Linked DNA regions of Oryzias latipes. The protein of the gene in region 3 purifies or fractionates together with the protein of the main gene of each other region. This does not show direct contact. Links are inferred from orthologs where the notes say so. Each region holds a gene or a part of one and is shown on either strand. Other genes may lie near its edges. The genes, in order: nup85, sec13, nup133, ahctf1, nup160, nup37 and seh1l.

Region 1 (3,136 bases), on a different chromosome or scaffold from region 3:
AGAACAAGAAACCTCAGTAAGTCTCCTGATGAGAGACCGCTCAGCTTACACAAATAATTAGTTTTTATTGACATTTTCTTTTTAATTTTTTGATCAGTGGGATGACATAAAGATTGAAAAAGAAAACAGGCAAAACATCAACATGTAACTATTTCATGTCAAACAGTGTTAAAGTAAAAAAAAAAAACAATTCCTGTTTTGCTCTATAGGTTTGTCAGCATCAGTAAAAACTATAGATCTGTTATTCGAGCCTGTATGGAGGAGCTGCAGCAAGTTGCAGGTTAGCTTCTTTAAACTGAATCATGAAGTGTATCTTCGAATCCTACAGTGTAGTTTTTTATAATGGCATGTACTTTTTTGTTTGCAGTTTCCACAAAAAACGCAGAGATGTCCGTACAGTATGGAAACCAGGCACGTGTTTTTATTCTTTAGTTTCATCTTTTCCTTTTTAGAAATTGTGATTAGTTTAATTTTTTAACTTATTAACGTATAATAGTTTTTTTCCTCTTCTTTTTAATCTTTTTACTATTCGTAATATTTTTTTGTTTCCTCGGATGTGGATTTTAGTGGTCTGTAATAAATACAATTCAAATAATTTTGTGTATAATTTGTTCTTAGGAATTAAAAAATGTGTATTTTTTTTAATGATTTTTAAATCAACCAAGCAGACGTCGACTAGTTTTGATGTTATTTCAAACTGCATTTGTGAGATCTTATTATACTAGAAATGTCTTCTGTATGATCTTGAAACAAACTCTTATTCATGTCGGAGCTTGTTTATTTTGGATTTTTGCTTGTCGGTACAAATATAAATCATTACTGATCTTTTTTGTGGGTAAAGCTGTCATTGTGCCATTATAATATGTTTTAAATGACATATTTTTGTTGCATTTTAAATAGTCAGAGCTCATCTGTATTTTAACCCTTGACTCATCAGTAACATTTCTCTTAAATATTATTTAGTTCCTAATCCAGTCTGTTTTGTTGCAGGTCTCCATTCTTTTAGCTATAGAACTGATCTGGAATCTGTGTGAAGTCCTTTTCATCGATGCTGCTCCTGGTTAGAATCTCAGTTTTTAGTTAACAACAAAATATCTTTTATTATAACTAAACAAAGGCAAGGCTCCATAAAAACCCATTCATGATTGATGTGTGTTTTGCATGCTTTCAGCCGGCTCGCTCCTGCTTCACCTCCTGGACTGGGTGAGGCTGCACAAGGCTGACGTAGACGAAAAGGCTCGAGACGTGCTGCAGAGTGACAGCCCTGCTGAGCATCGAGACTACTGGGATGTGGTTAGTGCGGGACATGCACACACACGATCCGCCTCCACTGGAGATCTCTGAGAGTTTCGTTGTGCTGTGCAGGTGGTGAGTTATGTGCTGCAGGGCAGGTTGGACGAAGCCAGACAGATGCTGGGGAAAAAGGCCACCCTAACGCCTGCTGCAAACAACATCTACAAGATGATGGATAACTTACTCAGCAAGATGCCTTTTTACAATGTAAGTACAATGGGAGTTATCTGGTTTTAGTCTGTGGGTTAAGAATGACTTATGGTCATTTACCTGCCATAAAGGTTAAATCTAAGTTGTGGCCTCCTTAAGAGGAGTTTGCACGACGACTCCTGCATCAGTTTCTTTCTCTGTTTTGGCTGAGGGACTGGTGACCTGCCTTTAAATGTGTTCAAACACATAACGAACCAAACAATTTCAAAATGTCCATTTTCATCCTCACATGTATGTCTTCAGCCTGGTGGCACACAGACACTGACAGAGTTTGACGTTAAGTGGAGGCACTGGCATGAAGAGGTAGACCGCTGCTTGCAGGACAACTCTTTTGCTAGCAACCAACATCTGGAGGTCATCTGCAAGGTCAGTCCATCCGTTACTACTTTTTATGCTATCGTGTATTTTCAAAATGCTAACATTGTTGGTACTAATGTAGGCTTTTCCTAAAAATACGCCCGTTTCTGTTAACAGTTTTAATCACTTCAATTCTTGCTAAATCCCAATGGGCTGATATGATGCATGCTCAAATTATGAAGCTATCGCCGCCATGCTTCACTGTAGGCAATTTCTGGGATATTAAATGTGTGTTTTAATTTCTAATCTGGCACCAAAATACATTTTAGTCATTTAGCAGCACCAGATTAATAAATTGGTGCAAATGTTTCAACTATATGATATAAAATGTTTCAATAATTTCTGTTCTTTATTTTTTAGATCCTCCTGGGTGATGAAGACACTTTACTGGAGCACAAAGACCTCCTGGGAACCTGGTATCACTTCCTTGTCTCAAGACTGCTGTTCTGTCATCCCACTGTAAAGCCCACTGAGTTGCACTACTATGCACAGGTGAACTATTCTACAAAACTTGCACTCATGTCTGCTGCATCCAGATATTAAGTGTACCTGTGTGTTTTGCAGTCGTGTATGACCATGTTTCTGGACTCAAGGAGCGCACCAGAACCTCTGGACAGCATCTTGCTGGCTGCCTTTGAGTTTGACATCCATCAAGTTATTAAGGACTGCAGGTGCAACAATGGGACTGATGCATGCAAGTACACTTATTTTAAATCTACTTTAAACATTCAATTTCTTCCTTTTGCCTCAGCATCGCTCTCAACAACTGGTGGTTTGTGGCTCATCTGACAGACCTGCTGGATCACTGCAAACTCCTCCAGTCTCACAATCTACAGTAAGAACCCTGTGTGCAGATTTAGTTTTTTAGTCTGGAGGTTAGGACTTCTTTTATTCAGTGTTTTTCTGTGTTTTTGCAGCTTTGGTTCCAATTTAAGAGAATTCCTCCTGTTGGAATATGCCTCTGGCCTCTTCACTCATCACAGGTTGGTTTGTTTTTTAAGTCCTCCTTTTAATTATTTGAATTTTTCTGTGAAGGTTTTCCCTTAAAGGATGTCTTTTTGTTTGTCTGTTGATCAGTCTGTGGCAGTTGGCTGTGGATTACTTCGATCACTGCCTCGAGTTTGGTCGTGTCTACCTTGAGCTCCAGATTGAGCGCGTTCCCTTAGACACGGAGCGGAAAGCACTGAAGGTCCTCCGCATTTGTGAACAGAGGCAGATGTCGGAGCAAGGTTCTAAAAGACTCTTTATTCTGTAATCACCTTGGTTCCAGAAATAC
Region 2 (4,293 bases), on a different chromosome or scaffold from region 3:
ATACATAAACATGTTTGTTTGACGGGACATATTGTAGATGCTGTCATTTTTTAAGTTGAATTGTGACTTTGGTGCATAGATTTAGGCCATGATTAGTCTAACGTTTTATTCTAAAAATACTGTAGAAGTTGTCAACTTTTGGAGATGCCGCCTCTTGTTTTCATATTCTTTATTGAAGCTTCAGTTGTGATTTGATTTTAATAATTGAAATAGTTTGGATTCAAAAGCGTGACATAAACAAATCTTTACAAAGAAATCAACTAAAACAGTTTTAAAGGTTTCGTTCTGTACACAAACACCTGAGTTTAGGATTCGCTTCTTGTTGTACTTCTAAAGTTTGTGTTCAAGTTTCATGATGTGTGTGTAATGAAACTTTTACTTTCACTTCTTTGTCATTTGAATTTTGCACTTTTTAAATGTTAGTAAACTAAATACATCTGCATTTTCAGCAAAATGTAAAAAAAGAACCTTTTAATAACTGTCTTTTCTCCTCTGAGTCTCTGATCAGATTTTAAATTAAAATGTTCATTACTTTAACATTCACTGCTTTATATTCATTACTCAGAGTGTCTTAAACAAACGTTTTGACAAAAGAAATATCTACAATCGAATGACGAGTCAGAGTAAAAAGGGTCTCACTGTCAGAGCTGATGAGCAGCTGATGAGCAGCTGTCTCTTACTTTACCTGAAGTCTTTGTCAGTGGAGGTCATTTTCTCCAACAGGTTGGAGATGTGGTAGGACACGTTAGACATGATGGTTCTTTAACAGCTGACACGGACGCCGATAAATGCTAAATCTGTAGGAAAGCAATGGAACTGGGGAACCAGATTCACCCTGACAACATGGCGAGGCTGGTGGGCAGAAAGCGGAGCTAACCTTAAACCTGACACCCCCAGGGTCAGCTAAAAATACAGCACACTTATTCTGGTTTATGTCTCCCTCGTGTGGACAAACCGAGCATTACAGCCGAGTTCGTTTTGAAATCCTAAACCATGGACTGTAAAGAGAAGTTTTACAGTCTCTGTTTGCCATGAATTTGTTTGAATAACATACAAGGTTGTTTTGTAAATAGATTGTTTTCTGATTTATAACTTTATTTTTTAATTGGCTTTCATGTGTGTGAGTATTGTCCCAAATAAATTTAGATTGTTTAATGTGAAAATATACCTTTTGTTATTTTACAGGAAGATGTTTTGACTCTTCTTTCGTTGCATCAACTTTTTTTTTTTTTTTTTTTTTTTTTTTTTCCTCTTTCGGCTTTTCCCATCAGGGGTCGCCACAGCGAACAAGTCGCATGGTAAACTTGGCAATGTTTTACGCCGGATGCCCTTCCTGACGCAACCTTCTCAAAGCAACCGGGCTTGGGACCGGCACAGATAGACAGAGAGACAGATAGACAGAGAAGGGAACAGGGAGCAGCCCTGTCGTTGCATCAACAGGCTTTGTAAATGTAATTTTGCGTTGTTGTCGTGTAGGCGGAACTTACGTTTCGATTGCGTCACTTCCGCCGGAAGCAAGTCTCGGGCTCTGGAAGCGGTCTGCGGTACTTGTTGCCACGTCGGAGTAGTTTGTAAACCCGGTCGATTCATTGCTAAGCGACCAGAAAACTGTTGAAGGGTTTTTGGGTTAAACAGCAGCGATGGTTGGTTAAAATACTTTATAAAAATGGTTTTAGCATTTCTTAAAAACATCTTTAAAGTTTACGTTTGCCTGCTAAGACTCACAGTTAGCTAGCTCCCGTTAGCCGAAATACTAGCTGACGCGTTAGCACTGCAGATAAAAACAATGATGGTTATTTTTTTTATGAACAGGTCAAATAAAATTCTGCTGTTTCTAATCTATAGGTCTCCGTTATTAACACCGTGGACACCTCCCACGAGGACATGATTGTAAGTGTTTGACCTCCCACTATGCTATCCGTGGATGGATAATTACATTGAATTTGTTTAATATTGTTTCACACGTTTATCCGTTCTTACAATTAAACTTTTACTGTGGTTTGATTACTCTATTTTGGGGCTGTATCGTTATCGTTTGGAACTAATCATTAATATTGATTTATAATTACATTTATCCTTAGGTTTGTTTGTGGGGGAAACGTGTTTTTTCTGTCTGTCTTGTTGTTTTCTTGAAGTTCATCTTGTTCTTTGTGCTTTAATCTCTTTAGAAGAAATGACCCACTTTTATCAGAAAGGCTGGATTTTATTGTGATACTTGTTCCTGAATGATACCCTTAATGATTTTAGAGGGAAACGTTTGCCTAACACATGATCATAGAGACGGGCTTCATTTTAAACGAACATACAAGAAAGACAAACATGTTATCAACCTATCAGAGGTCACAGTGTTCTAAAAGTACGAACACATAACTTTTTGTTGACGAGTCCAGGGACATGCTGTAAAGGTTCATGTGTGTTGTTGTGTGTCTCTGTGATGCACGGGTGAAGTGTCCTGGGTGAACCCTGATGGGATAGGCTCCAGCAACCCTGTAATCCTGAGCGGGATGGATGAATTCCCTTCAACATCAAAATGTTTCATTCTTGATAGCATTGAGGCAGTTGTCTGTTGCATAAAAGCATCTAAATCAACCTCCAGCCCCTGATTTCACTGATGTGAGGATCCTCAATTAAAAATGATTTGTTCTAGTATTAAAAGCGCTGTGCTGTATACACTTAAACACTAGACACGCCTGGCAGTTGCATCCCATCTGCATTCATGCATCTGTAAATCTTCAGGTGAGTTGGATGGGAAGTGATGGCGTGTCTAAATACTCACACGTGTTGAAAAGTTCTCTTCATGTCTTTATTCTGGTTTTAGGAGTTAAATTCTCAGAAATCTTCCCTTTATCCAAATGTAACGACCTGCCTTTCTGCAGTGTTTCTTTCTACCTACTAGTACTAAAGACCTTTGACCTTCACACGCCGATGATGTCACCCTTTCAGCTGGAAGACCACCGCTCTCTAGGTGGTTTTTAAACAGCCTCTTCCTGATCCAGAGGTGCTGTAGATTCAAACGGCTGACATGAAAGGTTTAGATCCAGGAGTTCTGGATTTGTGCCTTCATTTAGTGCCAGTATAATGATTGACATAACCAGCATACGTGTTTCCCTTTCAATCTCAAAATGTCCATTTGAAACATCAGACACATAGAAATGGTTTCACTGGCTGTGAACACATACATGTTTCTGTGTTTCAGCATGACGCTCAGATGGATTATTACGGGACGCGACTCGCCACATGCTCCTCTGACCGCACTGTCAAGATCTTTGATGTCAGGAACGGAGGACAGATTCTAGTGGCAGACCTCCGAGGGTGAGTCATCCTCAGAAAAGTCTTAGTTATCCTCTGTTAAATGCAGTAAAGAACAGCAGGTGGGTGTTCTCCAAGAAGAATAACTTCTAGTTTAATGTTCTTTATGCTGGTATAATACACGCTGACAAATATCGTGAAACACAAACGGCTTTCATCGTGAAAAGTTCATTTCTACTCTGAACTCGCGTGTGAGAGATTTTGTGTTCTTCGTTCAGCCATGAAGGGCCCGTCTGGCAGGTGGCGTGGGCCCACCCCATGTTTGGGAACATCCTGGCCTCCTGCTCCTACGACCGGAAGGTCATCGTCTGGAAGGAGGAGAACGGAGCTTGGGACAAGATGTACGAGTACACGGGACACGAGTCCTCAGGTCAGTAAGGGAATGTTTCCCCTCATCCAGTGTTAGAACTCCAGCTCATTCCATTACAGCTACTCTGTAGGTGTTTATGGTAAATGCCATTTCTTATCCTATTCTCAGTGTTTGTAATTCCACACCAGAGTTAGATTGTGTTTGTTATCATTTTTACTGGTTGTTGTTTGTGTTGCTGTGGAACTTCAGCCGATCCGAAAGCAGGAGAGACGTTCTCCGTGCTTTTGACAGCGGAGACGCCGCCGGCGGCTCGTGCTCTTTGACGAAGCGTAAATCCTCGTCTGTTTCTGCGATCAGCAGGAATCAGCTGAACTGATCGCTTAAGGCCGCTATGCAACACTTCCTGCTTTTGTCTGCGACAGAATCGGCTGACCTCCGCTGATTATGCTGAAGAGCTAGTGGGTAGAATGTAAAAGAAGACCTTTGAAGAGTCACTGTGACCACGGTAAACGGCCGCGTCTTTGTGTTCATGGCGCTGCTGCTGTCGTGTTTGCAGTCAACTCTGTCTGCTGGGGTCCCTATGAGTTCGGCCTCATCCTGGCCTGCGGCAGCTCCGATGGAGCCATTTCCCTCCTCACCCTAACTGGAGATCAGCAGTGGGACGTGAAAAAGAT
Region 3 (2,644 bases):
TTCATGATAAAAGTCTGCATTATATACACTGATCATACATGATATCACTCCAAAAAAAGATGTCAGTGTTTCTCATTAAATATAAACAATAGAGGAAAACAAGAACAGGAACACCACTTCAAGTTTTTATTATAAACTCTCCTCCTGTCATTTTTGTCAGCTTGCATGAAGCACAGAGCTGTTTTTTTCTAGATTAAGGCTTCTTAGGCAGATTACATTTGTCAGGATTGATGATTAATCCAACCTGCTTTCCGTAGTTTCAATCATCTGCAGCTTTTCCAGCAGAGGATCTCAGCTAGAGCACCAGAGTCGACTTATTTATAGACGAGATCTGCTCCACGTCAGCCGACGGCAGAAAGCCCTGAATGATGCAGCGAAGCGTCTGGAGATCTTCAGAGTCCAGAGATAAAAAAGGCTTTAAGGTTTCACTTTTGACTTCCTGGGAATTGAATAGAGGAGTTTTAGGAAGTGCGACTTATGGAAAACAGAACAAACGTCACTGTAGGTGCAGGAATACAAACGCGTTTATTTAGAAAAGAGCATTTCAAAACAGGGGAGAGAAAAGTCAAAGCTGTGCTGCCGTCACATCTGAGCCTGCAGGTAATGTTCATAATTGGCTCGAAGGACAAACTCAAAGTACGGTTTGGTCTTCAAACTGCTCAGCTCGTCCAGATCCAGCAGCTCCTTGACGTCAGGCAGGTACGTCTGCAGAGAAACACCTGAGAAAAAAACAACGAAAGGTTAGTTTGACAGAACTTCATAAACCTCCACAGAGACGCGCTGGGACTTTGTCTGAAGCCGTGACGGACGGTGTGATGATGTTCCTGGAGCTTGAGGTTCACCTTTAATCTCTCTTTTGTTACAGTTTATATCATCCTTCTCTTTGGTTTGTCATCACTTTTCTTCTATTGGCCCTGACCAGGGAGTTGGCTGCAGTCCCATGGATCTTACATTTCTGAATAATAGCTTCAACTGTAGTCACAGGAACATAAGGCTGCTTGAAAATGATGTAGCCTTTTGCTTTCACATGCTGGTCTGTGATTTTCTTGTTTATGTCCTGAGACGGCCTTTCCCACGTTGAGTGTGGTGCACGCCACGCCACCCTAATGTAGCCCTTTATATAAGGCCACTGACTGATGACAAGACTGTAGACGCCCATGAGGCTAATGAGTGGACTCAACAGTTCCCTTCACATCATTTTCAGTCTCTTCTAGGGGTATCATCCTTTTTGTCCAGGCCTGTTTCATGATTTAGTTTTATATGTATATAATTCCGCTGGTTAAAAAGGAATCTCTGACCTTCATTGGTTAAATTTCATAGAATTTCTGTTTATTATCACTTTTGTCAGATTCAAGTTTTTTCTGTGACCATTGTGAGTTTTGCTTTCATTAACTGAGTGGTGCCAAAAATTTTGTCCTCTTATGTATTTTAGATATTAAACCTTAAGATTTGAAACCATCCTAATCAAACCTGATTAGGATTTTTTCCCTTATTAGTTCAGAGCCAAAAAGCTTTAGGATCCTTTCGTTCATCTCAAGCTGACATTGATACTCCTGTTTTTGTGTTGACCCGATGAGCTTTTCTCACCTTCCTGCATGAGTTTGAGGAGGATCTTGACGAAGATGCTGTCTTTAGCAGCTTCCAGAGGATCATCGTTTCCGTCTGCAGTCGACCAGCTGGAAACAGACAAGTGTGACTAAACGGTAACAGCCAGTGTTTCCGGCGACGCTCCTGTAAGTTACTTCTAAAAAAACATGAACTCACTCGTCCCTCTTGAGAGCTTTGCCAAAGATTTCACATTTTAACGCCTCGATGTCCACGGCGTCCTCCTGCAACACAGCAAATCCTCATGAGTCCACGTTAGAACGGCAATAAAAAAAGAGTTTAAATCAAAGCCGACGTGACCTCTTCCATGTACTGCAGCAGGTCCAGAGCCTTCTTGAAGTCGTACTCGTTGGCTCGTCTGTTGTCGTCGCAGATGTACAGCTGCAGGGGAGACCAAGGAAGCGTTCGACAGGTGAGAAGAAGCCCCGCCTTTCAATGCAAGCTGCGTCCGTGTGTGTGTGTTCACCTGGATGAGGCTGTGAGCGTTGAGCAGAGGCATGGTGTCCGGGTTCTGCTGCTTCTCCTCCAGCAGCTGCCGGGGCAGAGTCTCCTGGTGGAGCAGGAAGCGCTCCTGCTCCACGATCTCTGATCAGACAGAAGAACCACAGCAAATGTGGATTCAAGTGGGCCTCAAGAACCGGCTGGACCGCTGCTAGATGTTCTGAATGGACTTTAAGCCATGTCTTTAATGGAGCCAAGCATCATGTCATTTCTCTTGGTTGTTTATTTTAGGACAGGAAGCAGAGCAGAAGATGCTGAGGTTCTCTTTGGAACCAGGAATGGGACATGAATGGATCCATCAGAGGAACAGATTATAGTCTGGAGATCAGCGCAGGGAAGCAGATGGAGACGTTTGAGAGGAGAAACAGGGAGGATGCTGGGAAAGGATGCTGAGGGTGGAGCTACCAGGAAGGAAGGATGGAAAAAAAAGGATGCAAAGAAAGAAAAAAGAAAGAAAGCATTTACAGAGAAAGAATAAAAGACAAAAAGATGAAAGAAAGGATGAAAAGACGAATGAATGATCGTTAAATAAACTTTA
Region 4 (3,953 bases), on a different chromosome or scaffold from region 3:
TGGGGAGAGTGTTCTTTACTTGGTAAATAAACCTTTTAGCATGAGAGCATTCAGTGGGCGTCCCCTCCAAAATTTTCACCTAAGACAATTTCCCAGACAAGTTGTGGCTCGTCAGTCTGCATGATAGCAAATTCCAATCTTGCTTTTACAGTTTAATTTCGTCATACTTTTCTTCCATGAGGACCGCTTTGGCTCAAACAGCGACAAAGGGTGCAATCTGACTGACCAGAACATTAGATTTCATTTTTTATGTCTTTAGGGGTTCTTTCTGGACTCTTTTGCTCCAATTTACATTTGTAACTTTAATTTGTCAAAAATTATTTTGTTTTTGAAAAGGAAATTGTCTAAATTGTCTTTTTTAAAGGAAATTGTCTATAATCGTGTTGGTTATCAGCTTTTAAAAAATATGGACTTGTGGTCACATGAACACCAAGCTGTATGGAGATTGTCTGGTTGCATTTATCTTTAAAATGTTTGTCTATTTCATTTCTAGCCCCCAAAACAACTTTTTTTTTTAAATTTTCTTATTTATGTTCAGTGTGGTGCCTATTATTATTTTATTATGATCACATAATGAAATAGTGAGAGTCTTTAAGGCAGACTGGCTAATTAGAGGTTTAAAGTAGCCAGTGGTGTCAGTTAGATTTCAAACTGTAAGGTCCCTATTTGGTGAAAATGTTTTAGTCTTTTTAGTCTTTTCTTCTATATATATATATATATATATATATATATATATATATATATATATATATATATATATATATATATATATATATATATATATATATATATATATATAGAAAATATATATATATATATATTTTCTTCTATATATATATATATATATATATATATATATAGTCACATGTGTGTGTGTGTATATATATATATATATTCTATTGTAGAACAATTTTGTCCAGTAATCAGTGCTGATTATATTATATTAAATATGACACTAACATATTCCGATATTTTAAGTGCATTTTTGAAACACAATAAATGGCAGAATTGAATTTATAAAACGGTCTTAAATGTGCTTTTACAATGCACTATTTCGTCGACTTGGACTAGTTGTCTTTTGTCACGGAAAAACACAAGAGAGCACTATGTGTTTTACCAGAAGGGGGCGATAAAACACTTTTTCTCTGTAGCCTTTTTGTCGGAGAAGAAGAAAACTCGAAATGGCGCTTTGCTTTATGGAAGTCAGAAAAGCATTGGGTGTTTGCTAACCAGCTAGAACTATTTGCGGCGTGTTTTATACGGTTAGTGCTAGATAGGAGGTCGGATTATGACAGACAACGAAAAGAATCTACACGGATTCCAGAAAAAACAGACGAACTGCGGCTATAAGGCCTGCATTCTCCCCAAAGGTAACGTAGAGCGCCTTGCGGCTTAAACTAAACCATCACGTTTTCCAGACTAACAAACTAACTTGAGTTACTTAGTATTACTATGATGACTCAGTGAACTCGCTTAACTAATCCATGTATGTTTTGCAGCAAAAGGGTGATGTACGTTTGAGCTGTTAGTTGTAGTTCGAAAGATTACGATAATAGAAGGATTTAAGTTTCATGTCTTGTTTTAGAAACAGATTCATTCACATAATTAGAACGTTAACACTAGATAAATTTGGCTGTCAGTCGCCAAAAACTAATCAGATTTTGAATTCACACTTTCAGCTAACATGTTACTCAACTAGTTAGCTATTTGCGTTTGCTCATATCGGTTCAGTCAAGCCAGGCTAGTTTATCACCAAACCGACTCAACGCGTGACTCAGATATAATTCAAAAACCCAGCACGATTTGATTGTTGTTAGTTTATTTTAATGCTTATTTAATAATTTTTTTAATCTATTTTTGAACGGTATCTGCTATGTTAACTTAAATGCTAGCTCACGAATAAGAGTCCTGCTTGACCTTGCATGCTAACAAATAAGCTCACAAATGTTGCTCGCGGTTATTGATACACACATTTGACCATTTAAATATTTACTTTATTAGGTTAGAAGCACGTTTTAAACATGTTGAGGTAGTCGGTGTGTAACAAAACACTTTAAACCCTGCAAACAGTAGATTGTTTACGTCTTGTGATCTTAGCTTTAGCATTAGCGGTGTAGTACCAGAAGCTAATGCGTAGTTTCCTAGCAAACGGAACAATTTAAAAATTAACCAGGGTTTAGAATCTAAACGTTATAGCTTTTCTTGTCTTTTTTCCACATAAATGTTCGGTCGTGTTTTTTGAGGCAAAGCTTTTTTCGGCTTTTTACGGCGTAGAAAAAAATGTGATTTCAGTCGTTAGCATTTGTAGGTGATTTGTATGTAATTTTAGCAGACACGTGTTCTACTGTGAAAGCTTTCGTGTGTTTGAGAAATCGCGGTCAATTTGAGCTCATTTACTGTTTAGTGTTCTTGATATTTCTACTGTCCGCACGTCTTTCTCGCGTGGCGGTCGATGACAGACCTGTTGCGCGGGAGTTAACTTGAATTCGTTGTGTTTTTCTTTAATGGTCACAGGGGGCAGCATTCCGTCCTAACAACACTGACTGTCCACCCCCTGACCCCGCCACGTGGTTTTTCTATACTTCACGTGTTAAGATGAAAGGATCTAATCTAAACACATAAGTAGATAACATTAACATGCGCACTTTTTATTTATATTGGTAACAAGTAAATGAAAGTAACTATAAAACGATACACCCTCAATAATTAAACTGTATTTCACTTTTTTATTTTAAGGGAGAGATAGCTGGAGTAAAGTCTGCTTTGTGTAATTTTCTGACTTATTTAAGTTTTTTCTTCTTCTACAGTCTTCTGTAAGAGCTAGCTGTCAGAGAGCTCACATGCACAGACAGATGTTTATGGGTGGGTTTGTTAGAAATCAAGCTCGAGTTTCAGCCCCAGTTGTCATCTTTTAGTGTGATCCCTGACAACTGACTGTACTGCTCTTGTCTGAAAGACAGGCTTCTTTTAAACTCCATAAATGAGGGCACAAAAAATCCTGTAAGAGTTTCTGTCACTTTTCTTCTTTTATTTGCTAAAATAGTGTAAACATGGTTACAAAATTTGAACAGTACTGACAAATAAATGTATCCTTGTTTTTTTCCTTGTTTGTTTTTTTGTTTACCTAGTGAACAATGCATGATCTTATTGCTCAAGTCACCAGTAGCTTGCTGCCCTTCTCTGGAGTGACTATAGAAGCCCTTGGGGAGGATGAGATCACTTTGGACTCAGTTCTGCAGGCCAGGTTCACTGTTGGTAAGCATTTGCTTCAGTGTTTTCTTTGTTATTGTTTGTTTCCCTTTTTCTTGTGAGAATGGGTACTTGCACGTGTCACATCTTTCACCAAATGAAAAATAGGTTACTAGAAATATTGCAGTTAATACTGTTTATTATCTTGTGAATATTTCATTGTTTCTGTCTGATTTTTCTTTCAATATTTCATATTTATTTTGACTTGTCAAGTGTGTAAATCATATGTTATTCACACAAAATTTGCAAACCAATATGAATACAACTTTTAAGCATAGCAAGGTATATAATTAGGGGGAAAAAGACCTTTTAACTTCTACAGGCCCTTTTCTCCACATATATTCTTCTTCTTCTTGACTCTTTTCTCTGTGTGTGAATGTTAAGGCCGCATTGGATTGGCTTGGCTTGCCTGTGGTCCCCATCTGGAGGTTGTCCATGCAGTAACGGGGGAGCGGTTGTCTGCGTATTGCTTTAGCACTGGAGGAGAGCACCCACCCAGAATTCTTTCTGCCAGGGACTTTAGCTGGCTTAAACGGTTTGTGCTTGGTTAGAATTTTTTGTTTTCCATCCATCTGCTTTCAATTTTTTAAATTGGAGTCAATAATGACAAATAAAAATAGTTTTCAACATTCATGTTTTTTATGTCTTTATTTGGAAAATTAATTTGATATTTTATTCTGAAAAAAAGAAAGAAAATGTTAACA
Region 5 (3,927 bases), on a different chromosome or scaffold from region 3:
CACATGGCCTTCTAGCCACTAGCCTGTACAACACATGGTCCTGGCTGCTGACGGCCTGGTCCTGTGGCTGGGTGCTGATGGCTTCGTTTTGGAACTGGCTGATGCTCAATCTAAATGGTAAATGGTAAATTGCGTATACTTATATAGCGCCTTTCTTCCTACAAGGACAAAGCGCTTTACAGTCACAGACCCATACCCCCAGTCACACACACATTCACACACTGGTGGCGGCTCCGCTGCCAAACACAGGCGCCCGCAGAGTTGATGCTTGAATTATTCTAACAATGTTGCAACCTTGTGCGGGAACCGCAGGTGCAGAAACAGAACTCACATTTACAGTGAATCTTTCTCTCTCTGCCACTCTCTCTCTCTCTTTCTCACTGGTCACACACACACACACACACACAGCAGGCCCAGGCAGGTGGAGGACAGAGTGTAGGTACATAAAACATCAATTTCCACACTTCTATTAGCCCTGGGTTTAGTGGACCCAAACATCTTGTATGTAATAGAAATGTGTTGGGGGGGGGGGGGGGGGGTATACGGTGTGTGGTCATTAAAAATGTATTCTGATATATGTTCTTCACAGAAAATGAGCCAAGGCCAGTGAGTCTGAGTTTGAAAAGTTTATTAATTGTATCATTTTTCTTTTGATAAAAAATGAAAACGGGTCCCACAGACCCGAACACCACATGAGGGTTAACCCTTGTTCTATCTTAGATGACCCCCCCCTTACATTGACGTGTTCTCCCTACCATGACAAAGGTGGATAAAGGTGGAAAGATTTCATGTAATCCATGGACACCAGTGAAGATCACAAATCATTGAAGAAAAAAGGTTCAGAGCTCTGTCTAGTGGGTCTAGATGACCCCACTCCCAATGTTAAAGTGCCTAGGATAGCACAAGGGTTACACAACAACCTATTTGATGCAGTTTCAATTTGAAAATGAAAAATCACTTCTGTTCTTGACTTTTATTCTTGACTTTTATTTTTAATTATGCTACACAAATGCTTCCATAGTTTTCGACCCCAACGGAGGTAATAAATGTAATGAAGGAGTTCTTCGTGTAACCGAGCGGGGCGCCGGAGCCTCAGTGACCAGAAGAGAAGAAGAAGAAGAAAGAGGCGGCGGCAGTTTGAAGTCTGTGCGCGCGCGCCGTAGCCCGAAGACAAGATGGCGGCCCTGGACCGCAGCTACATCGAGATCTGCGGGTTCGAGCGAAGCGGCGCGTGCCGTTTCCGAGAGGTGACCGTGACTCAGACAGGTGAGCCTAGCTGACATCACAAACCGGATCGTATGCCAACCGGCTTTACCGGACCCGAACTTGAGCGTGTGACCCGCGCGAACTGTTCGGGCCTAGCCTCATCACACACGCCTGGAGTGTACTGCCGCGTGCGCGCGGCGCCGCCGCTGCTGCTCAGATCCCAAAAAACCGTCAGTGGGTCAGAGCAGACCCGCTGAAAATGCTTCAGTCAGAACCACCGTCTGTTTCTTTGAGAAGGCGAAGCTGGAGGAGAGTTGTTGCGTTTATGTTAACTTTCTTTCTGGCTCGGCCGTGTTCCGGTTTACCAACCTGCACCGGAGAGATGGATCATGGGAGAAGAAGAGTTTCTGACTGTTGTTTGTCAAGGTCTTCATGAGCTAAGATGTCTGAGGAATGGAGACGTGTTAGGATTCAGACGTTCAGAGGTATAAAACTGAATGAAGTTTCTGAGAAAGTAGAGGAAGCTAGGTTGAGGTTAGAGGTGAACAGATTTGTGAAGAGTTTGGTTTCATGCAGAGAAGCACAGATGCTTTCTTTGCTTTGAGGATGTTTCTGGAGAAGAACAGGGAAGATCAGAAGGAGCAGCATCGTGTCTTTGTAGATCCAGAGAAAGTCTATGACAGGATGATCCAGAGACAGCAGCTGTGGTTTGCAGTGACAGTGAAGAAGGTTGGAGTTGTTCAGGACATGGATGAGAGCTGGAAGACACAGGTGAGATGTTCTGGAGGTGATGAGTGAAAGGAAGATGTTAGGCTTGCACAATAAATCGTAAATTATTGTGATCGCAGTATCAAGCTGTGAAATATGCATATCGCAAGCGGCGGCGAAAATTGCAATAAATGGTGACCTTAAATGTGCCAAAACAATCTTATGGCAGCTTGAAGTATTTAACCAATCAAATAAATCCATTTATGCATTTGACCAATCAGATGGAGCCCTTTAATGTTAGATGTTCATCTCATATGTGGACGAAGGTCATTTGGAGTATAATTTAAGTTATGTCGCCTCTTATTTAAACTGTCGCAGTGAAACGGAATTGATGTTTTATGGTTGTTATATCGTCATCAGGATATTGATCATTAAAATCACATGTCGCAAGTTTTCCTCATCGTGCAGCCCTAGAAGATGTTAAAGATAACATGGAGATGGTGGCTCTGAGCTGGAGCTACCAGGAAAGAGGTCTACAGGAAAACCAAATGGATGCAAAGGAGAGTTGGAATACAGCCGATTACTCAAATAGAGAAGAGAAATCTGTAAAAGCTTTAACCGTCTTCATTCTGGGGGTGGGTCCACTCTGTCTAAGCTTAAGAATTAGTAGAAAAGGAAGCAACAGGCTGAAGGTTTCTATGATAAAATACCTGCTGTGATTAGAGAAGGTGACTTATTATGGAACCAGTAGCTTTATGATTCCTGTTTATGTCTCATGCAATCATTCATTCAGTAATAAGAGTGTAAAGATTCATTTTAACAATGATTTGATTCATATCTTAATTTGTGGTTCTGAATACGATTCAGAGTCAATTTTGGTTCATCTTGATCGATCAGATTCTCTGACTTAATGGTGACTCAGACAGAAATTCCTGCTACTGAACAGTGAAGTTTTCCAGATTCTTGGATTTCTTCCAGATCATCAAGTATAAATGAAATCTGTGTCCAAACAAACAAGTAAACCAGGATGAATGTCAAATCCATTCACATGTTAGTTTCCTAAAGTTCAGTCCACTGTTGTTTTTCCACACCAGTGGTGAACTGTTGTGGAACTGGTGAACCCTTGCACTGACTTGCTTGGCATTTGCACAGAAATCAAACTTAACTGTATTAATTTGATTTTATATACTTTACCTTTTCAAAAGGCTGCTGTTTTCTTTTTTATAAATGCTGGCTGCGTTTTATTGCACTCTGTTTAGTTCCCAGTCACGCACGTTCCATTTTTTTTTGTTTTTTGTTCGAATCCTCAAAATAAAAATGACATCAAAAATTGGATTTCTTTATTAAATTTCTTTAATTTAATCAAAGCAATGAAACATAATTCATTGATATTGTAATGAAGTTAAACTTGCACAGCAGAGCAGTCACATGACGCGTCGTTCTCTGCTGACTGCACTGCAGGGTAAATAAACATTTAATCGTTAATAATGCTCATTATGTATTTGTAGCAACTTAGTCATTTTGATAGTAGGCTAATATAGCTAATATACATACATATTGCATGTGTTGCCTTCATTATAAGGCTTAAATAGGGCTTTTAATATTTTGCGGCTCCAGACACATTTGTTTTTTGTTTTTTTCGTCCAATTTGGCTCTTTCAACATGTTGGATTGCCGACCCCTGGTCTAGGTCAATTCAATTAACAGCTTGCCTCAGACAGAACGATCTAATTGGATCGTAGTAATAGAAATCGATTCATCTATTATTTGTTACAGTAACCTAAAACTTCCCGTCTCTCTTTCTGTTTTCAAATTGCTTTAGTGCAGGGGTGTCCAAACTTTAAAGCTGTATCCAAACTTTTCGCAAAGAGGCCCAGATTTATTGAGTGGAAATCTATGTGGGCCAACCAATTGGTTTGCAACCTTTAAACCTTTTATAATAAAATTAAATGCAAATAAACTATTTAATGAAAATGTTATTGCAATGGGATACTTTTCATTTCCTCACAGAACA
Region 6 (4,282 bases), on a different chromosome or scaffold from region 3:
CAAATATGTTTTCTATGCAACTGTAATTGTCACTTTAAAAAGTTATAATAAACAAATAAATGAGTTATTTAACATTGAGGAGTAGGTACATTTGTTTTTCATTACATTTAGTTACATTTATCATTTATATCTGGCCCATTGAAGACAACCACTATGCCGATGTGGCCCTCGGTGAAAATGAGTTTGACACCCCTGGCCTAGGTGTTCACCCTAGCAATATACTGATGACCTTTGTAAGAAGGGACAAAGTTACCACCAACTTCTGAGGAGACGGAGGTGGTTTGAACTCTGCTCAGGACTTTTTCTGACTCTGTGCTTGCCTCTGCTCCCCTCTATGCCGTTTTTCTGCTGGGAAACGAGCAGCACCGGTACTGAATAGGCTGGTCAGGAGGACCAGGTCGGACTCGGTGGGTGAGAGGAGGATGTCAATCAACCTCACATCCATCCAGGACAACAGCTCTCACCCACTGCAGCTGACTGTGAAGGGACTGGGAGGTTCCTTCAGCAAAATATTCAGACACCCCTAGTGTAGGCATGAATGTTACCGCAGGTCATTTATTTCATCAAACTGACCAACTCCTCTGTGTAACTAGGTCATAAAAACGGTTTATTTATGTATCTATTTATTTACTTGCTTGGTGATTTGTTTTTCTCCAGAGAGGCCATGACAGGTAAATTTCTCCTCTGTGAGATTAATAAAGTGGAACAGCATTTATACATTTAACAGGAAAGAGCACAGACTACTACCTTTTTGTTAACGTCGGCCATGGCCAGCTGAAGAACCATCAGCATGCTGTCAGCTCCATGAACCGTGGTCCTTTCAGACTGTGAAACTCTGTGGCGTTCCCTCCTGAAGGTTTTCACCATCAGGTTAAGTCTTTCTCCTAAAGCTTCCATTTTATCCTTAAGTAAGAGGTTACAGAAGACACAATAAATACATCTATCTTTGCATCAAACACGTTATTATTTAGAGCAAAAAATGCACAAGAAAATGGTCAACTCAAATGATTTTTGCACTGAAGAACAGTAACCTTGTTCAAAGTACCCCCCCCCCCCAAAGGTTTTGTATTCTCAGCTTATTTAAATCCTCTATAAATATGTATCTGTATAAATATATATGCGTATAAGGTTCAGGTATAAAAAGTCACAATAATAAAAATAAAATAAAATATTACCTATTTAAATAAATATTCAAACCTGTTGTGGTGTTTCAATGTTTCTGCCGAACTAGGCGCACACCGTAGAGCAGCTGTTTTGAAATTTTAAATGACGATGACGTTTAACACCTTCTAGCCAATCAGATTTCAGCAAACTGCATCGGACGCTTCCAACAATAAAAAATAAATCAGAATCAAATGTTCAAACCAGATTGATTATATTTATGTTTAGGAACATATTTGTCGATTTATATTTTTGTTCCAAGTTTTCTAATGTTGTCTATAATTTGATTCGTTTATCTTTTCGTCTTTCAGTCTCCCCTTGGTTTTTTCCAACTACTGGTACGTTCCGTGTCGTATGCGGAAATAAATGGTAAACACTTCAAGCGCGGGCAACTAGGAAACGCACGCGCCGGTAATATATGTATTCTTAGAAGAAATAAGCAGAAAATTATTATTTATGAAAACTAGTCTGTGCCTAGTCGGTTTAAAACAAAACAGCGCCATTCTTTTTCGTATTAGCTTCTAGCATCGTGGTCGCTTTCTCTTTCTGCTCCTGCGAATAAATAAATCGTTTTCTCTTTTTTTTAAACTCGTAAATTTATCATCACGGGAAAAGAAAATATTGTTCTCTTTGAACATTTAAAATGTACTATTTTAATCCTGTTAAAGTTTCTGGTTTTGACGATACACTATTTGTATTCTATTAATCTTGCCTGCTCATCACATTCATTTTTAGCTTAGGCTAAACAATACCAGAATTGTGAGTGTAGCTTGTTAAAAATGCCCTAAAAGAGGCAAACTTACTGCATATTTGCTAAAGAGCAACAAGCCAATATTTTAACTTGACGTGTTAGTCCTCCAGTCTGGTATAGATTCTGATTCTTGTTTAGATTCATCTTAAACCTCTGTATTATAAAATAAAAACACTAATACAACCTATTAAAGTATAGTATATATGTACTGTTTTTAGTTAAAGTAGTTTGGTGCAACAAAAAAAAGTTGTTAGAGGCAATAGAACTGCATTACTTTTATTAACCAATCAATATATTGAGGGATATATTCTGCACTAATCTGGTCAATTTACCCATCTGTATATAAAAAAAACTTTTTTGATCCAAAGCTTATTGTTACTTTTTTTTTATTGGAAACATCTTTTTTACTTCTGATTTTGGTAAATTAGAGTACCAAAAAAAGATATGAAGTAAAATAAATAAATAAGAGTGCTGGGAGTTTTCATATAAACCATCTCTTATGTTAACATGTGGAAAGAGTAAAGATCAGTAAACTGAGCAAGAGGAGCTCCGGAGATGTATAAAGAAAAAATGTTAAAGTTGTTACTTTTTTCATGCTTGTATCTCTTTTTGTTTTGTAAAAATGAACAAAAATAGGAATCTGTTTCCTTTCTTTCTGTTGTGTGACAGGGATAAACATGCAGGAGGAATCTGTTCGCAGTCCCTCCTATACGGTGCCGTGTGACGATTATGTCCATGTGGTAGAATTCAGTCCTTTCAGCTCAGGGACCTCGGCCTCCCTCCTGGCCTATGGTGGGAACCAGTTTGTGGTGGTGGCCACCTGCCTTTTCCAGGTTTCTGACACAGATTGACACAGCACAGTTTGGAGGTTTTTTTTTTTTGTTGTCACCTTAATGACACCAAATGTGGCCCTGCAGGAGGAGGACATGGAGGTGGAAGGAGTCGAGTTTAACGTCCTGCGAGCTTTTCATCATGATTTGCGTGTGGATGCTCTGGCTTGGAGCCCCGAATCCCGGCTGGATAGAATACCCACTCTCAGGTATCACCGTTTGATAAGATAAAGGGGGATCATTTAATGTATCCATACTACAGAATAAATGTGCAGGAGAACAGTCAAAGGAGATCAATAGGTTTGTTTTCAAAATCTACAGTTGAGGTTGAAACTTGGAAGTTAAAGCAAAAGCCTTTATGTTGTCTTTGATTTTGTAGAATAAAATCTTTATGCGGCTGACGGTTAGACGACCTTGCTGGGAACTTAAAACTCTTTCTTTTGTTGCGTATCTTTCTTTCTTTCTTTCTTTTTTATTGTTTGTTAAAGTCAAAGAATGTCAAAGAAAATAGCTTTAGGTGATGGAACGTATTTGAATTTGCTAATTTGTCACTCATTTATATTGGTTTTCATACTATATTTCCATAAACCTTTTCAAAATTGCTTAAGAATAATCTTAATGGATGCTACGAAATGCATCATTATTGCAAGCCCGGAGCCTAAGACAATGATTTTATTCGGGACATGGGGCAGTAAAGGTTTGTGACAACAGCTGGTAGGTACTACTCTGTAGATGCTGTCCTGTGTTAATGCAGTGAGTGGAGATGATGGAGGGCAGCACATGCTGCTCCACCACCAAGAGAAATCCGAATAATACAGGCTTCTAGTCGTTAAAAGACTGGGAATATTTGTGTTTAAGTGTTTGTGGTGTTTAAAAAGTTGCCATAAAGTATCCAAGTTAGCAAAACCTGTTTAAGCTAGCCATTTTATCATCATTTATTTTGTTTTTGTGTGTTTTGTCCACCCTCCTTGCTGTAGATTCATCAGAAGAAAAAAAATTTTTTTTAGGAGCAAACTGAAATATTTAGAAAAATTCTGAACCATCCAAACTAAGGATTGTCCTCTTTATCTGAACACGTTGGCCCTCAACGATTCTTATAGAAAGACTGACTGTATATATGAGATCTGGACTGAGTGAACCCTCCCCGTTTGGGTTCCAAACAGGAAGTACCTGCTGGCTCCAAGAAGCCAAAATCCCATAGACTATTAATCAGTCATTCTATTTTCCAGAATAACCATTCTTGCACTGATGCCTTTTTTAAACTGACCAATAAGAAGTCTAAAAAAAAGTGGGTGGTGCCACATGCAACTCTTGAAACCTTTGACAGATTTTGTGTAGCCTACTTCTAAGTGCTAGGGGTGTGGCCTTCTAACAACTGATTGGTGAGAGGGATTACCATGGAAATGTTGACTCAGACCAACTCTAACCAATCACTGCTTACCCATGACATCTGGCTCCAACATGGCGGCGTCTGGATTGTGGAAAAAATACCAACTGAGTTGACTTGATTTGATTTGATTTGAGCTGGAAGTAAGTCATT
Region 7 (4,191 bases), on a different chromosome or scaffold from region 3:
ATAGTTGCTGCAGTTCTGCATGTCACCCTTGTTCTTAAAGATCGGGACCAGAACGCTTCTCCTCCATTCCTCAGGCATCTTCTCACTCTCTAGAATCCTATTGAACAACCTTGTTAGAAATTCCACTGCTGTCTCTCCTAGGCACTTCCATACCTCCACAGGTACGTCATCAGGACCAACGGCCTTTCCGCTCTTCATCCTTTTCAGAGCCTTCCTAACCTCATCCTTTCCAATCTCTGCTACTTCCTGCTCCACAACAACCACATCTTCCTCCCTTCTTTCCCTGTCATTTTCCTCGTTCATCAGCTCCTCAAAATACTCCTTCCATCTTTTCTGTACACTCTCTTGGGTTGTTAGCACCTTTCCATCTCTGTCCTTAATCACCCTTATCTGTTGCACGTCCTTCCCATCTCTGTCTCTCTGTCTGGCTAGCCTGTACAAGTCCTTCTCTCCTTCCTTTGTGTCTAACCTGTCATATAGCTCATCGTAAGATTTCTGTTTGGCCTTTGCCACCTCTCTCTTCACTCTACGCTGCGCTTCCTTGTACTCCTGTCTACCTTCCTCAGTCCTTTCTACATCCCACTTCCTTTTAGCCAACCTCTTCCTCTGGACGCATTCCTGTACTTCCTCATTCCACCACCAAGTCTCTTTACCGTCTTTCCTCTTTCCAGATGACACACCTAGCACCTTCCTACCTGTTTCCCTGATAATCTCTGCTGTAGTTTCCCAGTCCTCTGGAAGCTCATCCTGACCACCCAGGACCTGCCTCAACTTCTGCCTAAATTCCTCACAAGTTCCTAAATTCCTTTAAGACGTTTTGTTCCTGAAAGTATTTGGAGGAAAGCCTGGAGTGTGACCCACAAACTTATGATAAGTAATAAAATGAAAGAAGTTTCTCTTAAAATAATTCACAGAATTTACCCCACCAATCAATTCATGATAAGATACATTAAAACAATTGATCCTAATTGTCCTTATTGCAAAGAAACAATTAACCGCTTTTTTGGAATTTTACTGAGATTAGAAGTTTACAATTTATTGAAAAACAAATCCACCCCAACTTTACTCTGAAGTATGAATATATCATATTTGGTTTTCATAATAAAAACTTGGCCTCTAATAAAAAACTCATAATTAATCTTATTATTATTTTTGGCAAATTTTATATTCATAAACGTAAATTTCCTTCATCTTCTATTTTTTCCCCTTGTTAATCAAACAAATTGAAATGTATATCAGTAACATCTCCAAAAGTCTTAATCAGAAAGCTGTATGTTTATATGAAAGTTGTAGAAACCTGAATGTTTTTATGTAAAATGCATGTAATATGAATGCTCCCCTGGCATACCTGAAGTTTATTTTGTAAAATTGTGTTTTGTATTGTACTTCCGTTTTGTACAATAAAGTTAAACAAAAAAAGCAGGTCTCAAAGCTGGATGATTTCTGCGGTAGGCCTGCTAACGCGCTGGTGAAGCTATCGCTGGCGGCGCGCTGCTACCGGGATCATGTTTGTGGCTCGTAGTATCGCGGCGGATCACAAAGATCTAATTCACGATGTGTCGTACGACTTTCACGGCCGGAGAATGGCGACTTGCTCCAGTGACCAGAGTGTGAAGGTAAGCTAACGTTAGCCTCTGAGCTCGCGCCCGCGGTCCTCGACTGTGATGAACCGTTCCCGGGCTGCCGCGCGGCCATGTGTCACATTCAGAGCTCTGTTTGTTTTTCTGAGGTTTGGGACAAAAGCGAGAGTGGAGAGTGGCTCTGCACAGCCAGCTGGAAGGTAAAACGCCTCCATCCTCACGCCGAACTCCACCTTCTGTGCTGAACAGATGTGAGCCTCCTCCTCCTGGTTTCTCTCTGCAGACACACAGCGGCTCAGTGTGGAGAGTGACCTGGGCTCATCCAGAGTTCGGGCAGGTTTTGGCCTCCTGCTCCTTTGACCGAACCGCTGCGGTTTGGGAGGAGATTGTAGGAGAATCCAACGACAAGCAGAGAGGCTTGAGCCACTGGGTCAGTGCTGGGTTGGGAGCGGGCAGTTGCAGCGACAACCTGCAGCAGGTGGAGGTCATGTGAGTGTTTCTTGCTTCTCCATTCCAGATTAAGAGGACCACACTTGTGGACAGTAGGACATCAGTGACCGATGTGAAGTTTGCTCCTAAACACATGGGTCTGATGCTGACCACCTGCTCTGCGGACGGCGTGGTGAGGATCTACGAAGCTCCGGATGTGATGAACCTGAGCCAGTGGTCGCTGCAACACGAGATCTCATGCAAGCTCAGCTGCAGCTGCATTTCATGGAACCCCTCCAGGTTATATAGCTTTTTCATATTCTGGATGAGCTGACCAGACCATAAGTTTGATGGAGGTTCAGTTCTGCTCCATGTGTCTGTGAAGCTGGGCACAGAGTGTCATTCTAAGTTTCCACATGGCATTACACACAAACGAAGAGCACGTCTGCGCCACTGCCTGATGACAGGTCGGAGTGAAGGCAGGAGCGGCGGATTTCTGCTGAATCATCTCATCTCATCATTCTCTCCCAGCTCACGGGCTCACCCTTCCATGTTTGCCGTGGGCAGTGATGACAGCAACATCGCGAGCGGTGGGAAGGTTCAGATCTATGAGTACAACGAAAACACACGGTGAGCGTGTTCAGCACACAGCGGCCAGAGATGCAGCGGCCTCCTGACACTTCCTGTTTCTTCTAAAGGAAATACGGCAAAGTGGAGACTCTGATGACTGTCACCGACGCAGTCCACGACATCGCGTTCGCTCCCAACCTGGGGAGATCTTTCCATGTTCTCGCTATTGCAACAAAAGATGTCAGAATATTCAAGCTTGCCCCCATGAGGTGATTGTCATCATCATGTGTTCTGGTGCATTTCTCGAAGCACACAGCTTTTGAAATAAAAGGAGGAAGAAAATGAACAGAAAATGTGTCTTGGTTCTCTGGAACAGGAAGGAGAGCTCATCCACCGGACCCAGCAAGTTTGAGGTGCAGATTGTTGCGCAGTTCGACAATCACAACTCCCAGGTGTGGCGTGTGAGCTGGAACATCACAAGCACCCTGCTGGCTTCCTCTGGGGACGATGGCTGCGTGCGGTTATGGAAGGGTAAGAAGCTGGTCCACCTTCAGCAGGAACACAGACGGCTGCCGTCTGTCGGCAATCGTCTGCAGTGCAGCGACCGTTTTCTTATTTTCCTGAGATGGGTACATGATTAATAGAAACATGGCCTCCTCTGGAGGTTCAGTGTTGGACCTCTAATGCTGCGCTCACAAATTTGCGTTGGCCGCTTCAACTGGAACAAATGTCGGATTCGCTGCTGGCTACCTGTCCAAAAATAGGTTCATAATTGTGACGCATGTGGGAGGAGCTAATGTTTATTTGCCTCATGCGTCTTCTACATGAAAGCATTGACTGTATTTGTCGTTTACAATACATGGACGACACAGAAGTTGAGAGATCAAGTCAGTTTATTTTGAAGAGCTCTACTCTCGCTACCTGATGTGTCAACGCATGTGCGCAAAATACATAAAAGCATTTTACGGTCAGAGTATGTCTTTAAATATTAAATGATGATAAGCTCTTAAATGTTTCACAAAATGTACTGCATGTTAACATTTATTTTAATGTTAATGGGGGTAAAACATGGTAGGAAAAAGAAATGTACAGTAAACCCTTGTTTTTCGCGGGGGTTACGTTCCAAAAAGAACCCGTGATAGGCAAAATCTGTGAAGTAGAAACCTTTAATTTTTTTACAATTATTATATAATTAAATAGTCTATTATACATTGAAAAGAAATAACAAACCATTTTACAGGCTCAAGCATTTGTTTCACAAATAAAAGTACTTTAGAAACGTTTTTTTTTCAACAAATAACTTCTGTACTGTACTGTCAAATAATAATTTTAATCATCGATGTGAACAGAAGGCTTCAAATTGCGGAGATTAGCCCCACCCCCATGACCCAAGTAATTGGATTAAACGGGAGAAAATTTTAAAATGATTATGAATAAAATACAAAGTACAGTCGGACAAATAGTGACTCAGGTGTATTTCACTGCTCTGCAGACTGAGCCGCTGCATCCTGACTCCGCTCTGCAGTGTTTTCTTCTTTTGAAGCCCGCGGTGCAGCTGTGTTTGTTTGGGGGAAAGAACATAGTGATAGGAAGATGTTGTTTCTCTTTTTTC

The links.
Region 1: the proteins of nup133 (region 3) and nup85 purify together in Homo sapiens (affinity purification with mass spectrometry; 5 studies listed by BioGRID and IntAct, with this or other methods). This does not show direct contact. The link is inferred for Oryzias latipes from reciprocal best matches to the Homo sapiens genes NUP133 and NUP85.
Region 2: the proteins of nup133 (region 3) and sec13 purify together in Homo sapiens (affinity purification with mass spectrometry; 4 studies listed by BioGRID and IntAct, counting the BioPlex papers as one, with this or other methods). This does not show direct contact. The link is inferred for Oryzias latipes from reciprocal best matches to the Homo sapiens genes NUP133 and SEC13.
Region 4: the proteins of nup133 (region 3) and ahctf1 purify together in Homo sapiens (affinity purification with western blotting; 3 studies listed by BioGRID, with this or other methods). This does not show direct contact. The link is inferred for Oryzias latipes from reciprocal best matches to the Homo sapiens genes NUP133 and AHCTF1.
Region 5: the proteins of nup133 (region 3) and nup160 purify together in Homo sapiens (co-immunoprecipitation; 4 studies listed by BioGRID and IntAct, with this or other methods). This does not show direct contact. The link is inferred for Oryzias latipes from reciprocal best matches to the Homo sapiens genes NUP133 and NUP160.
Region 6: the proteins of nup133 (region 3) and nup37 purify together in Homo sapiens (affinity purification with mass spectrometry; 4 studies listed by BioGRID and IntAct, with this or other methods). This does not show direct contact. The link is inferred for Oryzias latipes from reciprocal best matches to the Homo sapiens genes NUP133 and NUP37.
Region 7: the proteins of nup133 (region 3) and seh1l purify together in Homo sapiens (affinity purification with mass spectrometry; 4 studies listed by BioGRID and IntAct, with this or other methods). This does not show direct contact. The link is inferred for Oryzias latipes from reciprocal best matches to the Homo sapiens genes NUP133 and SEH1L.

What each region holds. Positions count from the first base shown.
Region 1 is NC_019866.2:13,017,532-13,020,667, reverse strand, and holds part of nup85 (nuclear pore complex protein Nup85), read left to right. Parts: coding exon 1-16; intron 17-209; coding exon 210-280; intron 281-367; coding exon 368-411; intron 412-990; coding exon 991-1,060; intron 1,061-1,171; coding exon 1,172-1,293; intron 1,294-1,365; coding exon 1,366-1,500; intron 1,501-1,746; coding exon 1,747-1,869; intron 1,870-2,220; coding exon 2,221-2,352; intron 2,353-2,424; coding exon 2,425-2,531; intron 2,532-2,611; coding exon 2,612-2,695; intron 2,696-2,777; coding exon 2,778-2,843; intron 2,844-2,937; coding exon 2,938-3,089; intron 3,090-3,136. UniProt on the Homo sapiens protein: Essential component of the nuclear pore complex (NPC) that seems to be required for NPC assembly and maintenance. As part of the NPC Nup107-160 subcomplex plays a role in RNA export and in tethering NUP96/Nup98 and NUP153 to the nucleus.
Region 2 is NC_019863.2:32,815,987-32,820,279, reverse strand, and holds the start of sec13 (protein SEC13 homolog), read left to right. Parts: upstream 1-1,493; 5' UTR 1,494-1,640; coding exon 1,641-1,643; intron 1,644-1,845; coding exon 1,846-1,890; intron 1,891-3,196; coding exon 3,197-3,312; intron 3,313-3,527; coding exon 3,528-3,679; intron 3,680-4,175; coding exon 4,176-4,293. Other genes in the region: cullin-associated NEDD8-dissociated protein 1-like, read right to left, coding at 686-753. UniProt on the Homo sapiens protein: Functions as a component of the nuclear pore complex (NPC) and the COPII coat. At the endoplasmic reticulum, SEC13 is involved in the biogenesis of COPII-coated vesicles.
Region 3 is NC_019859.2:2,082,579-2,085,222, forward strand, and holds the end of nup133 (nuclear pore complex protein Nup133), read right to left. Parts: exon of another isoform or gene 2,338-2,644; intron 2,191-2,337; coding exon 2,072-2,190; intron 2,018-2,071; exon of another isoform or gene 1,987-2,017; coding exon 1,906-1,986; exon of another isoform or gene 1,866-1,905; intron 1,830-1,865; coding exon 1,765-1,829; intron 1,677-1,764; coding exon 1,588-1,676; intron 720-1,587; coding exon 583-719; 3' UTR 501-582; downstream 1-500. UniProt on the Homo sapiens protein: Involved in poly(A)+ RNA transport. Involved in nephrogenesis.
Region 4 is NC_019861.2:24,934,082-24,938,034, forward strand, and holds the start of ahctf1 (protein ELYS), read left to right. Parts: upstream 1-1,153; 5' UTR 1,154-1,370; intron 1,371-3,128; 5' UTR 3,129-3,134; coding exon 3,135-3,255; intron 3,256-3,633; coding exon 3,634-3,784; intron 3,785-3,953. UniProt on the Homo sapiens protein: Required for the assembly of a functional nuclear pore complex (NPC) on the surface of chromosomes as nuclei form at the end of mitosis. May initiate NPC assembly by binding to chromatin and recruiting the Nup107-160 subcomplex of the NPC.
Region 5 is NC_019864.2:4,323,576-4,327,502, forward strand, and holds the start of nup160 (nuclear pore complex protein Nup160), read left to right. Parts: upstream 1-1,127; 5' UTR 1,128-1,175; coding exon 1,176-1,266; intron 1,267-3,927. UniProt on the Homo sapiens protein: Functions as a component of the nuclear pore complex (NPC). Involved in poly(A)+ RNA transport.
Region 6 is NC_019881.2:20,075,347-20,079,628, forward strand, and holds the start of nup37 (nucleoporin Nup37), read left to right. Parts: upstream 1-1,482; 5' UTR 1,483-1,572; intron 1,573-2,581; 5' UTR 2,582-2,589; coding exon 2,590-2,745; intron 2,746-2,829; coding exon 2,830-2,951; intron 2,952-4,282. Other genes in the region: parpbp (PCNA-interacting partner), read right to left, coding at 748-897. UniProt on the Homo sapiens protein: Component of the Nup107-160 subcomplex of the nuclear pore complex (NPC). The Nup107-160 subcomplex is required for the assembly of a functional NPC.
Region 7 is NC_019874.2:7,224,059-7,228,249, forward strand, and holds the start of seh1l (nucleoporin SEH1), read left to right. Parts: upstream 1-1,391; 5' UTR 1,392-1,505; coding exon 1,506-1,616; intron 1,617-1,729; coding exon 1,730-1,780; intron 1,781-1,863; coding exon 1,864-2,010; intron 2,011-2,097; coding exon 2,098-2,309; intron 2,310-2,540; coding exon 2,541-2,639; intron 2,640-2,707; coding exon 2,708-2,848; intron 2,849-2,955; coding exon 2,956-3,110; intron 3,111-4,191. UniProt on the Homo sapiens protein: Component of the Nup107-160 subcomplex of the nuclear pore complex (NPC). The Nup107-160 subcomplex is required for the assembly of a functional NPC.